Oryctolagus cuniculus: one gene and its partners. The protein of the gene in region 4 interacts with the protein of the main gene of each other region in a pairwise test. Links are inferred from orthologs where the notes say so. Each region holds a gene or a part of one and is shown on either strand. Other genes may lie near its edges. The genes, in order: PTN, SPP1, PRPF40A and UBQLN4.

Region 1 (4,188 bases), on a different chromosome or scaffold from region 4:
TATTATTCTGCCATATTAACAAGCTTGAGACCTGCAAATTAGATTCTGGATTCTGACTTCTGGTCCTCAGTCTACTTATCACTTGATTATTAACGTATTAGAGGATTATTAATGTATTACATGGTTATTAACTTATTACATGATTATTAACTTATTACATGATTCTGAAGAAGCCCGTTGCCTGGGAAGTTTTTGAGTAGCCATAAAACCACCACACTGCAACTAGGAAAATAATCGGAATTCAAGTGAGATTGTCATTTAAATGGAAAAAGAATATGTTCAAAGAGAAATAAAACATTCACACTTATTTTATTCCTAAAATTGATTTTGCTAATACAAGTGATTGTGAAACTTTAAGAATCTATTTCTCTTATATTATCTTAAACGATGACTTTTTGTGAAAATTCAGGTCATTGGCTTTACTGGAACAATGGTAATAAAAATCCCCATTTAAAAAATGCAGGTCTTGCTACAGTTTGCTTTTTGTAAAGACCACATAAGGCACATGGAAACTTGCGGTAAATTAATGTTCCTTGTACCAAACTCCATGGAAAGAAATCTAGGGTAAAAGAAAAATAGTATATGATATGCTATACTGCATATAGTTAAATATGGTTTATTATGTTCATTCCCTGTAATACAAAGTCAACAGTTAAAAAGCCCCGTGTTAGCTGCAGCTTGCTCTCTGTCGCAGCTCTGGCTTTGAGAAGGCGATGCATTTGTGTCCACAAGCAAACCACTGGGGCACAGCTCTGCAAGCAGCTGTACAACTTCATCCCAGAGAGGTTTTTCACGAAACTGAGAGGAAAAGTGTCCTGGGCTTCAAGTAGTGGGAGGGGAATGATCGCCTGTCCAAATTCAAAGTATACAGCCAGAGACCATAAAGCATGGAAGTTTCTTAAAGCACAGAAAATGGTGTTGGATGTTTTTCAAAGCAAATATAATACCTAAAAAAACTTTTAATTTAAGTAATAAAGTACAAATATTGCCACTCTAAAATAACGCATGTCCCAAAGGGAGAGAAAGGTAATATCCACTCTCTTTTCCTTTGAATTCAGCTGGTCTTTAACCGCTTTTTATGACTTAGTCTTTAAAGTGCATAATCAACTTAGAAAGGAACAGACCAAAGATGGGAGACACAAGCTTGGTTTTCAGTGTGGATCACCTTCCCTTTTGTTTCACTCCCACTACCTCTTAATAGTCCTGCAAATCAATTCATCCCCAGATGATTAAGGGGCTAACATGCACTCTGCTGTTTCATCAATTCCACATTTGAATGAGATCATGAAGTGGCTCCATTATGTTATTAGTTACAAAGCTCTTCTGGGTGGTTCCTGACTCTCCTCCCAGGCCCTTCCCTCCAACACACACACACACACACACACACAGAACCTCTTTCTCAAGCTACTGCTAACACATGCCATGACAGCTCAACTACTAAAAGAGCAAAACTACTAGAATTTGGCACTTCCCTCACATTGCTCATTTCCTCCTCTCGTGCGCCCCCAACTCCACACCTATTGTCTCAGTGTATCCCCCAATTTCACAAAGCAGCTATTAGACAGGGCTAAGGTAACAACAGAGTGTATATAAACTCTGTGTGTATTCTTGAGTGGATGTAGGTGTTGTGTTGTTAGGTACAAGGGTGTGTGTGTGCGTGTGTGTTAAGAGGAGAGGGAGTTTTATGTTCTGTACATTAAGTAAGGAAAGAATTTGGTACATTCCTCTCAAAAAATATTTTGTTAAGTTATTAGAACAGTCAATTCAGAAATTGATGGTCTAACAAAGTATACCTGGGGTAACAAACATACCCTAGCTTTCTGTGGGTAAAGGGAAAAGGGCAAGCAGGACAGTGCAGGACAGGGATCAAAGTCGGCAACCAAATGAGCAATGGGGAACCATGGTGCATCTTGGAAAGTTTGGACTTGACCATTTCTCGAAGTGTTCCTGGCTGTCAGGCAGGATTGACAGTGCCAGCTGCTCAGTGTCACCAGGCAGGGGGACAAACAAGCCCCCACACGTCACCCAGAAATGCCAGCTAAGGGTCATCCGCTGGCAAGCCCCCGGGGTACTCCGAGAAGCAGAAAAAGAATGGGAAAATGAGACCTGCTCACAAGGGCTGCCTTCCTGCCTCCTCTCTACTGAGTCACACACACACACACACCTCCCAAAGCCTCAGGTTTGACAAAGAGCAACCATGCACCCTGCAGCCCACCCTGGCAAGCTCTGTAGCAGTCAGCTGGAGCAGCCTCCAAACGCAGGCTTCCCACGACAAAGGCTTCCCTCCTTCTGCTCAGAAAAGCACACTCTCCTTAAACCTGACCTGACAGCCCTCCCAAAAACATGCCTCAGTCTGCAGTAAGTCAGTTTTGAGAGCAGTCCTATCAGCAACCACACCAGGCAGCCCCTCTCCCACTCCCAGCACCTTCATCCGCTGGCAACCAGAAAAGTGGCACAGGGTGCAAGCACACTTAAGCCCCCTGGGGGAAATCACACATTCCCTCCGCTTACTTTGAGCTGCAAATGTCCTCCCTGGCGCTCAGGCTGCCTTTGTTGGAAGGGGCGAGGTTTGCCGCTGCTGGAGTCCAGGTACCCTGCGCGCTGCTGCTCCTGCCTGGGCGGCCGCTGCTCTGCTCTTCTGTACAGACGACTCACTGGTCTCTTTCTTCCTCTCTCTCCACTTTGGATTTTCCTGTGCTCTGGGGCTCCCTTGGCGGGATTTTTGGACTGGAAGGCGGGGAACCTGATCTGCTTTTGACTCAATTACGCCCTGACAGGGAGGGAACGGAAGGGAAATGGAGAATGGGAGGGATGGGAGAGGATGCAGGCTGGGCGAGGGAGGGAGAGTGCTTTTCACCCGAGAGCTGATTGGGAAGCTTATTAAAAGCAGGCTACTCCAGGGGCAGTCTCTCCCCGTGGAGCAAGAAAACGGATTTGAACCAAGAAGCCAGGAGATGTAAGACTGTATTGTTTTTAGCAGAGAGACGGAACACAGTCTAGCTTTTGCAAACCCCATGCATGCTCGGTGCTTTCCGGGGGCGCATTCCCCAGTTTACCAAGTTAACCTATCACACACAGTGACATTTTAGGTTGCAGTTTTGGCCCCTGTCATTTTTTAAAAATAATATTCAGGATGAAAAAAACAGCTTCTTGTTCTTCCCCACCCCCAAACGCCCTCCCTACACAGAAGAACCCCAGCCAAATTCAGCTGTCAGTCCCAGCCCACCTGAGCCTCCCAAAGTGTGCAGAGTACTTTTCTCCATTGTCACAGAGTGACAGATGTCTTCAGGTTCCTAATTAAGTGCTGCTTTCCTTTAGGTTTTTTTTTTTTTTTTTTTTTTTTTTGCTTCTGTGGTGCTTTTATGAGCCTTTGTAATGATAAGCCTTTGACATCGACAAAGAATTTAGGGGATTGATCAATGGAGCTCAAATGCTAGGTTTTATAGAACTCAGAGGCTGGGCTCCTTGACTTTCAGGAATTCCATCTCATTCAATGGAAGAAAGATGCTGAGATAGTAGAATTGGGACTGCTGAAGTCATATGTAGATGAATATTTATGGCATAGATGAGATTAAAAGTGTTGTATGAAATGATTCAGACTTACAAAGCAGATTTCCACTAACATTTACAGAAGTGAATTGTGAAGTGTTCTGTCTCTTGTCACTTCTTTCCAGCTCCTTCCAATGCTCCTTTTATGTCCTTGCTATCACCATTTGGCCACAGCCCACATGCCGGCTGCACCCCCCCATTTGGTTGTGGTTTGTTTGTCCATTTCTGTGGTTCTGAGCTCACGTCCTTCTATTCAATTTGACAAATATTTGTTAAGTACCTTATTTAACTCTTTTCCATTCACTTAAAACCACCCCTGACATCCCAAAGTAGAAGCACTGTTTTGTGGCAGGTAGCTTTTCAGGGATCTGAGGCTCTTCCATCGATTGCAACAAGCAGAAGTGTCCCACGGAGGAAGGAGTCAACTGGGGGCCAAGAAGCAGCTCGGCAAGTAGAGCTTTTAATCAATCAATCATTTTTTTTTTATTTTTTTTTCCACAAGGAGGTGCATCAGAAATTCCATTAGGCACTTTCTATCTATCCCCTTAAGGAAACTCTCCAGACACAGGGCGTACACCAACCTCCAATGAAACACAGATTGCAGCTTCCCTGTTCTCACAGGAGCCCATTCTCCCCGTG
Region 2 (4,166 bases), on a different chromosome or scaffold from region 4:
GGAAAAAAACACAATTCAGAAATCTAATCTTCCCTTAACATATGCATAGCCTGGGGCAGGCCCTTGGTCTAGCTGTCAAGCTCACATCCGACACTGGAGCACCAGCTCTGGCTCCTGATGCCAGCTTCCCATCAGTGCAGACCCCGAGAGGCAGCAGAGAGGGCTCCAGCAACTGGGCTCCTGCCACCCACGTGGGAAACTTGGATTGTTGTCCTGGCTCCTGGCTTCAGCCTCAGCCCAGTCTTGGTCATTGCAGGCATTTGTAGAGTAAAGCAGCAAATGGGATCTCTCTCTCTCTCTCTCTCTCTCTCTCTCTGATAAATAAAAAATCTGTATTTTTCAATTGAAAAACACACTAGGGCGTTTGCCTCTAATGCATACCCAACATTGTTATTTGTACATATACTGACTCATGTAAACCTCTCAAAAGTTCCAGGAGCTGGGTTAACAGGGTCTGCATTTCACAGATGAGGAATACAGGTATAGATAGCCTAGTGATGTGTCCAAGGTCAGGCCAGCAACTCTAGACGGAGCAGGGTTCAAGGCCGCAGCGCGGCTCCTGAAGCAGCCCTCTCAGGCGGTCATCCTGCTCTCGGTCAGACACGGCCCTGACTGCTGCAGCATCCACCGTAAATCGCCGCTCACTCTCTTAGTTGATGCGGTTTTTATACGTATTTACCAGATTCATCACCTCTGAACAATTCAGACCGTGCAACAAAAATCCATGTCATTGAAAGGTCACTGCAAGTCTTCCAACGGAACGAGCATGAATAGGGACCTCAGTGTCACTAAGATCGTTCATCTAAATGACAAGCTGCTGCTGACTTGAAGTCACAAAACGGAGCTTGAGTAGAAAGGGACAGAGGGACGCTTCCTCTCGCTGGGCCTCGACAGTGGCCTTCAAGTTCTTCAGGAAACAGAACGGCAACTGTGGTTGCGGATATCACCTTCATCTATTACTTGGGGAAACAAAAGCCCTTTCTATTTCATTTCATTCCAGGCTGATTTACATGCGTATTTTTTCGCCTAACTCAGAAATTATAAATAAAATCTCTGTAAGAACTAGTTACTTTCCCTTTCTTTTAGGAGACCCCTAAGTGCTCTTCCAGGAGTCCGAATGCCATTCCAGTAAATGGCAAAGCCAGTTAACATTGTGCATAAGTGCGTGTGTGTGTGTGTGTGTGTGTGTGTGTCAATTTTGGTTTCTTTTGTTTTTTGTTTCTAACCACAAAACCAGAAGGGGAAGTGTGGGAGCAGGTGGGCTGGGCTGTGGCAAACAACCTCATGACACATCTCTCCGCCTCCCTGTGTTGCTGGAGGATGTTGGAGCAGCATTTAAATCCCGAGAGGCTCCGGCTGTCAGCAGCAGGAGGAGGCAGAGAGCGCAGCATCCTCTGGGACTGGACTCATCTCGGGCCAGTTGCAGCCTTCTCAGCCACACGCCGACCAAGGTAAGCCTGCAGCCTGCTCCGACTGTGTTGCTGTCCATACTTTCAGTTGAATTTCATGGGCAAGTTCAAGTTGTAAGGAAAATAGTTTAAGCTGTGATGCTGTAACAGTTAGACTGCAGTTTTTGTGTTGTTGTTGAATAAGCAGATCAGATATGTTACAAGTCTGGAACCAAAGTGCTCAGATATTTTGAAAGCCAAATGCAAAACTTAGAAACATACCTATTGAATTCTCCAAAGACCTGAAGCAACTGCTTCCAGTCAGAAAAAAGTAAAATTCTATGCCCCCTTGGAATGAGTGTGTGTCTTTTAAATGGCTGGATGACTGTGGAGGCATTAAATAAAGAATAATCTTTTGTGCTATTGTAAACCACTGATAATGCTATTTTTAAATGATTTGGTCTATCTCATTTTCAAGGAAAAAATCCTTTCTGCATATTTTACTTCTGTGTTTAGCTGTTAAAAATGTCAACAAGAAATTTTTTAAAACCTGTATGCTTTCACTATTTTCTTCTTCATTTCAAACTTCTAGACTACCTTACCTAAATAACTAACTTGAAAGATAGCTATAATTCAACTAAGCAGCAGCTTCTTAATAATTTGGGTGTAAGAATGTGTTTTAAATGCATGCTGGAGAAATGGGGACAGCAAATTTCTTTCATTTTTTTTTTGCCCTTTGTGTTTTTCTTCTCTGAATATTAGGTACTCCCATGCGTGCTTATTATTTTAATTAAATTTCTGTTGATAATGCTTTTAGGTTTAGATATCGAGTAGGGGTGATATAATCTCTGGAACTCTAAATTAAAAACTGAATAAAATGGAGACTTGTAAAATTCCCCTCTCACTTGTCTAACAGTGAAGTGGAAAATGGAAGTGACAAACATGAATTCCAAAGACCATGTTACAAACAGACGAGTTAGTCCAACAAGTAGAATACATTCAACAGAATGTTTTACTTGTGATTGTTGATTATTTTGTAATGTGGCAGATTTTTACATTTTAACCTATGAAGCTGTTCTTACAAAATATTTTGCAGGAACAATCACCACCATGAGAATCGCTGTGATTTGCTTTTGTCTCTTGGGCATGGCCTACGCCCTCCCGGTGAGTGCTGCTACTCTTACAGGAAATTCACAGGAATAAGTGAACTGGGTGCCTTCTTGTGCTAGAACACAATCCCGCAGTAACGTTGCTTCCTCTTTTCTGTTTGAAAGGTTAAACACGCTGATTCGGGCAGCTCCGAGGAAAAGCAGGTAAGCACCTTTGAAGTCTGTCATCTAGTGAGATTGGTCATGTATTCATTGCCAGGAGTAGCCAAACATCTTTGTTGCAATTTGACTTACCTTCATGGTCAAGCCCATTCATTTACAACCCTGCTAATTGACCTCTGTTATGAATCTAGACCCAACCTAAGCACAGTATAGTTTTTGATAAATGCGTGTTCTTAAAAGCAAGCTGGGCTTGTTTTAACATGATAAAATAATTATCTGGGTCATAATCACATGTGAAGTGAATTCCATGAAGTGGTGTGACTTTCTTTCCATGAGTCAACCTGCTTTTCTAGAAGCAGAAAATTCCATCCTTTGCTTTACTTAGGGGAAAGCTATGTTTGAAATTCACCTTGGCTATGGCTCAGGACTGTTGTCTGACCACAATATCGCCTAAGAAATTTGTAGGACGCCCATTGTGCAAAGAAGGTCTACTTGTGCTGTTTGTATCTATTGTGCTCGTCAGCTGACTTTAGATCACATTTTTCAAACCAAGCATAAGACCAAACCAAACTATTATAATGATTTGACCAACACCCTAGAGGTACCTGCCCCTCCACAATAGATGAAGCTGTGCCAGCCACACAACAAATGGGCCTTGTTCTGAGAAGCTTGGACAAAAAGGCACACAGAGTTCAATTCCAGATGAATAGAATAGAGGCCAATGCAGAGTTGCCTAGGGTCACGGCCATTAGACTGCTTAATGAAGACATGAAGAGAGGTGCTCTGTGTGTGTGTGTGTGTGTGTGTGTGTGTGGCTGTGCATGTGTGTACATGTGTCTGTTGATTTGCGAACACAGATAGAATCACAATAACAAAGTAGAAAAGCTAACATCTCCAAAGAAGGTACAAGCCATACTATTCAAGGAAAGAACTGGTGCCTTTTAAAACAGAATAAAATCTGGCAAGGGTACATTGATGAAAGGCACATAGGCCATGACATTATGTCACTAAAGTCATGTACCATTGCTAGGAGAAATTCTCTCTCTTGCTCTCTCTCCCCTAGCATATTATAGTTATTTTCTAGACAAATAAGTCTCTGGCGGCTTAGAAAAATAGAATTCTTGTGCAACAATGTTGATATATTTTGTACTGTCTGATAAGACAGCCACTGGACACACATGGCTACTGAGCACTCAGAATGTGACTATGGCACCGCATTGGCCTGGTGGTTAAGATGCTGGGTAAAGACTCCATGTTCCATCTCAGAGTGCCTGAGTTTAATGCCCCATCCCAGCTTCTGATTCCAACTTAACGGCTTATACAGACCCTGGTAGGTGGCAATGATGGCTCAAGGGATTGGATCCCTGCCACTCTTGAGAGAGCTGAATTGGGTTCCATTCCCTGGCCGGCACTGCAGCTCACTAGGCTAATACTCCGCCCTGCGGCGCCGGTACCCCGGGTTCTAGTCCCAGTTGGGGTGCCGGATTCTGTCCCGCTTGCTCCTCTT
Region 3 (3,562 bases), on a different chromosome or scaffold from region 4:
CAACCAAAACCAGTTAAAAATTCTTGATTGTATTATTTTTATTTTGGATTTGTGTTTGGCAAACTTTTTGATAAAATACCAAATGTAAGTATTTGGGGTTTTGTGTTTGTTAACAATGCCAACTCTGCTGTGGTCCCACAGATTGGCCATAATCAGTATATAAACAAATGAGCAAGGCTGTGTATATTTCTAGTCAGAGTGGGCTAGTTTTGGCTAGTGTAGTATGCTGCATATGCTGACCTTGGTTTAGATTAACCTCTATATCTTTTTTATATTTTTGCAGTTATGCGAAATACTCAGTCATTAACACACTAATATGAAACCATTGAATTAACCATTTAAAATGGTTAGGTTGTAGACTAGTGGAGCTGGTGTTTAATGCAGTTAATGTTATATTTTGGCATTTCTACAAGGTTTTAATAACTATACTTTCAGGAAAACTCTGTATTGCCTTTATTCCTGTGTTTTTAGCATCTGTATATGAGGCTTAATTCCCAAATTGTCAAAATTTAACATCAAATATTATTTAAATAACAACTAAAGGCATTTATATTTCTGACTGAAGCAAGTATTTGTTTAAATTATCAATGACATGTTTACATTTCTCTAGTTTTACTCCCAAAAAAGAAGAGGAGGAAAGCCAGCCAGCAAAAAAAACATATACTTGGAATACAAAGGAGGAGGCAAAGCAAGCATTTAAAGAATTATTGAAGGAAAAGGTATTTGTGTTACAGATTTTTATATGCTGTGTATAAATTACCTAATAAAATGAGTTATTTTTAATGCAAACCTTGATACCTTTATTTAAAATACTGATTTCATGTACTGTTTTTACTGAAAATCAACTAAAATTGTCTTATTTTTTTGAAGATCACTATTTTGAAACTTTGAACAAAAAAACTTGAACAAAACTACACCAGGACATTTCTTCTTCAATATTTAATACAAGGTTTTTTATTTATAGTTATAATTGTTTACCTTTTAATCAAAATTGTAAAGAAAAAATACTCATTCCCTGTTTAAATTTGAGTTCAAGTTCTTTTCAGTTGATAGGTAGATTTCAGAGGTTTCCCATCAATAAAACATTATTTAGAACTTTTCAAAATCCTACAAAGGAAAATTCTTGAGGTTTACAGTGAGTATTGTAGTTGGTTCCCTGTTACATGACTTACTGTGCTAGTGTGAAATTTTAATTCTTCATTTAAATGGTTTTCAGCGGGTACCATCCAATGCTTCATGGGAACAAGCTATGAAAATGATCATTAATGATCCACGATACAGGTAATACTTCATTATTTTATAAACTTTTCACTTTGGCATAGCAAGCCTAGCACATTTAAAATTGTGGAGAATGGTGCAGTTTTTAATTCAGATTAATGTTCATTGTTTTAAGATATAAAGAATAAAGTTCTTTTGTGGATTAAAAAGAAAAAAATCTAAAAGGCTTGTCATTAGATTTGAGCATCCTGTTTTCTATGAAATTACTTATTTTGAATTAGAAATTATTTTCTAGTACCATTTCTTTGATAAATTTTTACAATCTTAATTTATGCATGAGAAAAGTTGTTGGTTTTCCCCCCCAAGTATTAACATTGTATTTTCTTGCCTTCATTTCATGTGTTTTTTTTATATTTAGTGCTTTAGCAAAATTGAGTGAAAAAAAGCAGGCTTTTAATGCCTATAAAGTCCAGACAGAAAAAGAGGAAAAAGAAGAAGCAAGATCGAAATACAAAGAGGCTAAGGAATCCTTTCAGCGTTTCCTTGAAAATCATGATAAAATGACTTCCACAACCAGATACAAGTAAGGATTTTAGTGATTCAAGACTATGTTTAACTATATTCTTTTGTCATACTTTCTTGCCAGCTGTAGTGACTGATCTAAAACAAATACTGATTGAATAATTAGATAATTATTAAGTGTGGCAGTTTGGTGAGATAAATCAGTAGTTAAATGAAATTTGACTTGTGGACCCTCTGAGTTACTGCTTAGGGACTTGAAGAAAAAAAGATTAGATTTAATAAAGCTCGATTCCCTTTTACATAATTGAAATATTTAATATTTGTGGAGTAGAAATAAGCTATTTTAATTGAGCAGTGGTAGTTTGCTTTTTATTTAAAATTATGAGTAATTCAGTACTAAAAATTTTACAGTAAGTTCAGCTTATTTTCCCTGTTTATTTTTCTTTCTTAGAAGCCTTAGTAAAGAATTCTTAATTTTTTAAATATATTTTATGTGATCATTAAATTTCCTATGACTTCATAAAATTTTAACTTAGTTCTGTGGATATTTGGTAGTCTCTAGCTACCCATAGGAATAAGGATACTGTAGATATTCTGTCTATGGATAATGGAGGCTTACATTGTTTTATTCTTTTCTTCACTGTTCAAAAGCTATCCTTTGTAGTATAGTTAGGACTTTTAGAGAGGAATGATCATTTCGTGATTTTAAATTTAACTAAAAATTGAAATGTTTTAAGATTATTTTTATTGTATAATGTAGAGTAATATTTATTTTTGTGATAAATAGAAAAGCAGAGCAAATGTTTGGAGAGATGGAAGTCTGGAATGCAATATCTGAACGTGACCGTCTTGAAATCTATGAAGATGTTTTGTTCTTTCTTTCAAAAAAAGAAAAGGTATTGTTTATTCCTAGTTGTTGGTTTCATAGACAAAACTTCTTCTGATAAGGAGCTACACCATGTCCATTTTTATTGCTTAGGTTATCCTGTCTGTGTGATGTAACTGATCTTTTTATTAGAAGCTAAGGTTTAAAATGAAGTGCATAGTCATTATATTACTCTTTATCCTTTTCCTTGTAGCATATGTATTGAAGTCATCACAAAATTACTTAAGTTGCCAATAATTAGCTGCCTTATGCCCACTTTGAAAAATAATTTATCTCATTGAGTTTAAAACTGCTTTTTCTGCTGATGCATTTGATTCTACTCTTAAGAATAAAGTAATGTGCATTTGTTTCAACTAAACTGAACTTACAGGATAGAGTTATGAAATACCTCTTTTATTCATGCCTGTTTTGTTATGCTTTATTAAAATTTTCATTATCCAGTCTTCAAGAAACATAAATGTAAGCATTACCAAAAATTTGAACATGGGACAAATTTCTGGCCTAGTGGTTTAGACTTTTGGGACAGCTGCGTTATACATATGGCATACCTGGAGTCAGTTCCATCTGCTATTCCAGCTTCTTGATATTGCATACCCTACGAGGTGGCACTGATAACTCAAGTAATTGGTTTCCTGGCTCATGTCTTTGGCATAGCCTAACAATTGCCAGCATTTTGGTAATGAATCAATGGATGAGAACTCTGTGTGAGTTTGTATGTCTTAGATAAATATCTCCCAAAATTTTTTAGCATAGCTAGAAGCCATTAAAACTATTAAAGGACCTTAACATTTACTATTATGTGACTCGTATGCAGTATCTTTAGTTATAGGCTCTGTCTGTAATATATTGTAGTAGGAAAAGAAGTGTATGGAGTAGGGATAAAAAACAAAAATATGCTTTCCAGATTCTGAACTTAACAAAAGAGGTTAAGAAATT
Region 4 (4,054 bases):
GGGCGCTGAGGCGGGGTCAGGCGTGCAGGGGGAAGACGCAGTGGCAGCGCCTGGATCTTGAGCCCTGAGGACAGAGAAGGGAGGATCCCAGCGGTACCACAAAGCTCCCCGGAGCTGGCTGAGGTGAGCTGTCACCTGCTACACCGAGCAGCCCCTGAGCAAGGTGGATGCTGGGGCCGCCGCAGCTCAGCAAACCCAGGCAAAGGAAGGAGGGAGCGGGGATCCTGTCTTCTGGCATTCTGGGAAGTCAGCGGCCCTGGTCCTGGAGGTGAGACCACATCCAGCCAGGAGCTCCCTGCCCGGGCCTGGGCTTAGGGCCTCTAGGGAGAGTTGGGCATGGCTGAGAAAGCAGCTCAAGGGGGGGCCCCAGGAGTGGGCTGCGCCCCTCCTCACTTACTTCTGAGGGGTCTTGATGACCAGATGGACAGTGAGCCCGTCCTTGATCCCGTGCTGGTTCAGCGTGTCTCCATCCTTGAGGATCTTGCCCGCGAAGATCAGGACGAGCTGCTCCTGCTGGGCCTTGAACCTCCGGGAGATCTCCTCTTTGAACTGCGAGCCAGAGCCACGGGGGCGGGGCAGGCGTTCAGCCTACTGCTTAGCTGGCTGTGGCTCCCATCCTAGCACCTGAATTCCATTCCTGGCTCTGGCTCCCAATCCCAGCTTCCCACAAATGCAGACCCGGGGAGGTGAGGCGCTGGCCCTGGCTGCCTTAAGTAATTTGATTCCTGCCACCCAGATGGGAAACCTGGATTGAATTCCTGGCTCCTGGCCTTGGCCCAATCCCAGTTGTCATGGGCATCTGGGGACGGAACTAGCAGATGGGAGTTCTATTTCTCCCCCCACCCCCGCCTCTCACCAGGAACCCTGATTCCTCATCAAGGATTTCAAAGGGAAGTCCCTTCGGCTGTCTCAACCCCACCCCTCCAGCTTCGATAAGCAGCCCCCCACCCCGTTAGTTTATTTATCTTATTTATTTGAAAGACAGAGACAGACAGCCACTGGTTCACTCCCCAAATGTCCCCAACAGTCAGGGCTGGGTCAGGCAGAAGCTGGGAGCTGGAAACTCAATCCAGGTCTCCCAGGTGGGTGGCAGGGACCCAGCCACCTGAGTTAGCACCTGCTGCTTTCCAGGGTGCACATGAGAAGGAAGTTGGAATTGGCAATGGAGCCAGGCCAGGCACTCCAAAATGGACTGTGGACATCCCAACAGGTGTCTTACCTGCTTTAAGTTTTGTTTACTTATTTGAGAGAGAGAGACAAACAGAGCAAACAGAGCTCCCAGCCACAGGTTCACCCCCCAAGTGCTTGCAATAGCAGGGGCTGGGCTAGGCTGAAGCCAGGAGCCAGAAGCTCAACCCAGGTCTCCCATGTGAGAGGTAAGGACTTGAGCTGCCGCCTGCTGCCTCCCAGGGAGCTTCTTTCTTAACCAGGAAGATAAGCCAGTCAGAGGCTCCTCTCTCAGCGCCATCCCAGTCTCCCACCCGAGGAAGCCCTCACAGCTATCTGTACCCCAGACTGAGCAACTGCCCCATCAACTCCTTCTACGGCCTGGCGCTTCTTCAGCCTTCTCCTCTCCCCGCTCCAGCGTCCCGCCTCTCCTGACTTCCAGCTCTCTCAACAACAGCAACAACAAGGTCCAGCCACTGAGCACGAACCAGGCACGAGTTAATGGTCCGGTATTTTCATTATTAACTCCGTGTTCAAGATCAGAAAACGGAAGAGCAGGGAGCTTAGGTAACATCCTGGGCAGATTGGAACTCAGGTCTTGACCAGACACTCTTGCCTCTCAATTCCAGCTGTTTTCAAAGTCAGCTTTGCAGGGACCCCTCTTCTGGAATTCAGTCATTTTATACTGCTGGGAGAGTTCAATTCTCAGTCCCTGCAAAGCCCAACCCAACCCAACGCACACTCCGAGTAGAAAAGGCGCACTTGCTAATAAGCAAAGGGAGCTTCCAAATCCCTCTCTTCCAACCAGATGGCCCATCCTGAAGCCCCGCCTATGTGAAATTCTGGAGCAACTACAGGGGGGTGGCGAACGCAGGCAAGAGTCCCTCATTCAACAAAACCTTATGGAGCACCTACTGCACACTGTGCAAATCTCAGAAGAGCTGAAAACCAAGTGTGACCACCTCGGGCTTAAAGAGCAGGAAGGATCTAGGGCAGAGAACATCCTCCACCCCACCCCGCGCCCTGCGTTCGGCGGACTCTGGGCGTTCTCCGGGCCACACAGGAGACGCGGGCGCTCTCCGCCTGCCCCCTACCCGCTCTACGGGTCCAGCACCTAGCCGGGGCCGCCACTGCGCCTCGGCGCCTCGAACCCCGGCCAGTTCCAGGGGCGCACACTCCCCTCAGCCCCAGGGTGCTTCCCGGGGGCCGGCGCAAGGTGTCCCCTTACCCACTCTTCCACCACGCCCCCAGCCCCGGCTCCAGTGCAAAGCCCGCTCCCCCCAGCACGCGCCACACTCCCCCAGACCCGCCCGCGCAGGGCGCCCCATATCCGCCTCTCCTGCCCACGCGAGTCCCCGCCGGCCCCCGCCCTCCTCCCCGGGGCCGTCCCGGACGCCAGGCAGTCACGGAGGCCCCCCGCCCCGTTTCTTCGTAGCCCCCTCCTCCGCACTCCCTCTCCGCTCCCCCCCCGCCCGCCGCTAGCCCTACTACCTCCTTGACCGAGGCTCGATCGCAGATCACAATTTCCTCCTTGTCCTTGGGGGTCTTGACGGTGACCCGAATGGGGGGCCTCGTCTCGGCCCCGCTCGGCTCCGCCATGCCGCCGCCGCCACCCGGCCGCCCGCCAGCCCGCCCGGCTCCTCCTCCTCCTCCTCCTCCCCGCCCGCCGGCCGGCCCGGCTCGGCTCGGCGCCTCCAACACTCCCCTCTCCCCTCCCCTCGCCGCGGCTCCGCCGCCCCCTCCGGACCCGCCGCAGCCACAGCGCCCCGGGCGGACTGGGGGGGCCACTGCAGCGGGGTCCGCCCAGGGCCCGGCCTGGGGTCCGGCCGCCGGGACGCGGCCTGGGTGGCGAGGGCCTCTGGGCGCGGAGGGCGTGTCCTTCACGGCGGGGGCCTGCGAGAGACCCCCGCCCGGCCCGAGCCTCGCCGCCGTGCCCTGCGACCCCGGGCCGCCCCCTCCCCTCCGCGGTTACTCCTGCTCCCGGACAAAGGACTTTCTGCGTGGCCGCTTTTTCTGTGATAACTTGGTCTTCCCTGGGCGGTGCAAGTTCCTTTCCAGGCCTGGGGCCTCGCTCCACCGGGAGTCTGAATTTTCTCCCCGCGGGACGTCCACTTAAAGCCTCCACTCAGGGAGTGACCCTGTTGCTCCCGATGCCCACGGCCTGAATGGCCTGTTCTGTACGGTGCGAGAACTGGGTGTTGCCGGCGTCACCGTTCCAGCCTCGGTTTCAAGAAAACAGAATCTCTTGCCTCATCCCACAGAATAGTGCCTAACGTAGAAAACCGCTCTGAGAAGTAACCCAGGCTGTGCCCGACAAATACGAGGATTTATTACTACTATTATCGCTTCGTGAGTAGCCAAGCGGCCATGATGACCTCTCTCCGCCAAGGGGTTAAACGTCCTCCCAACCCTGCCACATTGCCCTTCCACTCCCGCTCTTTTCCCCCACGACCGCGTGGTCTAGCTGAGGAGGCGAACTACAGTTCCCAGTGTGCCTTGCGAGACCACAGGAACTACGATTCCCAGTCCCTCCGCGGCTGAGCGGGGTGGGGCCAGAGCAGCTGTCACGGGGTCGGAAAACTACAACTCCCAGGGCGTTCCCGAGCGGGTCGCTGCACTGCCGGAAGCCGCAGGCCGCGGCTAAGCGGGACGCCGCTCGGAGGATCTGGGATTTAAAGGCTGGGTGACGAGCCGCTGGCATGCTGCGTCCCAAGGCGTTGACCCAGGTGCTAAGCCAAGCCAACACCGGAGGCGTCCAGAGCACCCTGTGAGTGCGGGCCGTGGACCCGTGCGGCGGCAGCGGAGTGGGGCGGGGAAGGGAGGCGGCCGAGGGGACCCGCAGCTGACCGAGAGCGCGCCTCTGGAAAGGGAAGCCAGCGTGCTGGGG

Evidence for each region.
Region 1: the proteins of UBQLN4 (region 4) and PTN interact in a two-hybrid assay, tested with the Homo sapiens proteins (2 studies listed by BioGRID and IntAct). The link is inferred for Oryctolagus cuniculus from reciprocal best matches to the Homo sapiens genes UBQLN4 and PTN.
Region 2: the proteins of UBQLN4 (region 4) and SPP1 interact in a two-hybrid assay, tested with the Homo sapiens proteins (2 studies listed by BioGRID and IntAct). The link is inferred for Oryctolagus cuniculus from reciprocal best matches to the Homo sapiens genes UBQLN4 and SPP1.
Region 3: the proteins of UBQLN4 (region 4) and PRPF40A interact in a two-hybrid assay, tested with the Homo sapiens proteins (2 studies listed by BioGRID and IntAct). The link is inferred for Oryctolagus cuniculus from reciprocal best matches to the Homo sapiens genes UBQLN4 and PRPF40A.

Annotation. Positions count from the first base shown.
Region 1 is NC_091434.1:173,077,262-173,081,449, forward strand, and holds the start of PTN (pleiotrophin), read right to left. Parts: upstream 2,860-4,188; 5' UTR 2,512-2,859; intron 1-2,511.
Region 2 is NC_091439.1:77,729,193-77,733,358, reverse strand, and holds the start of SPP1 (osteopontin), read left to right. Parts: upstream 1-1,306; 5' UTR 1,307-1,451; intron 1,452-2,484; 5' UTR 2,485-2,498; coding exon 2,499-2,552; intron 2,553-2,662; coding exon 2,663-2,701; intron 2,702-4,166. UniProt on the Homo sapiens protein: Major non-collagenous bone protein that binds tightly to hydroxyapatite. Appears to form an integral part of the mineralized matrix. Probably important to cell-matrix interaction.
Region 3 is NC_091434.1:89,207,288-89,210,849, forward strand, and holds part of PRPF40A (pre-mRNA-processing factor 40 homolog A), read left to right. Parts: intron 1-610; coding exon 611-719; intron 720-1,216; coding exon 1,217-1,281; intron 1,282-1,636; coding exon 1,637-1,801; intron 1,802-2,527; coding exon 2,528-2,636; intron 2,637-3,562.
Region 4 is NC_091438.1:42,636,660-42,640,713, reverse strand, and holds the start of UBQLN4 (ubiquilin-4), read right to left. Parts: upstream 2,847-4,054; 5' UTR 2,767-2,846; coding exon 2,659-2,766; intron 550-2,658; coding exon 398-549; intron 65-397; coding exon 1-64. Other genes in the region: ragulator complex protein LAMTOR2, read left to right, coding at 3,867-3,934. UniProt on the Homo sapiens protein: Regulator of protein degradation that mediates the proteasomal targeting of misfolded, mislocalized or accumulated proteins.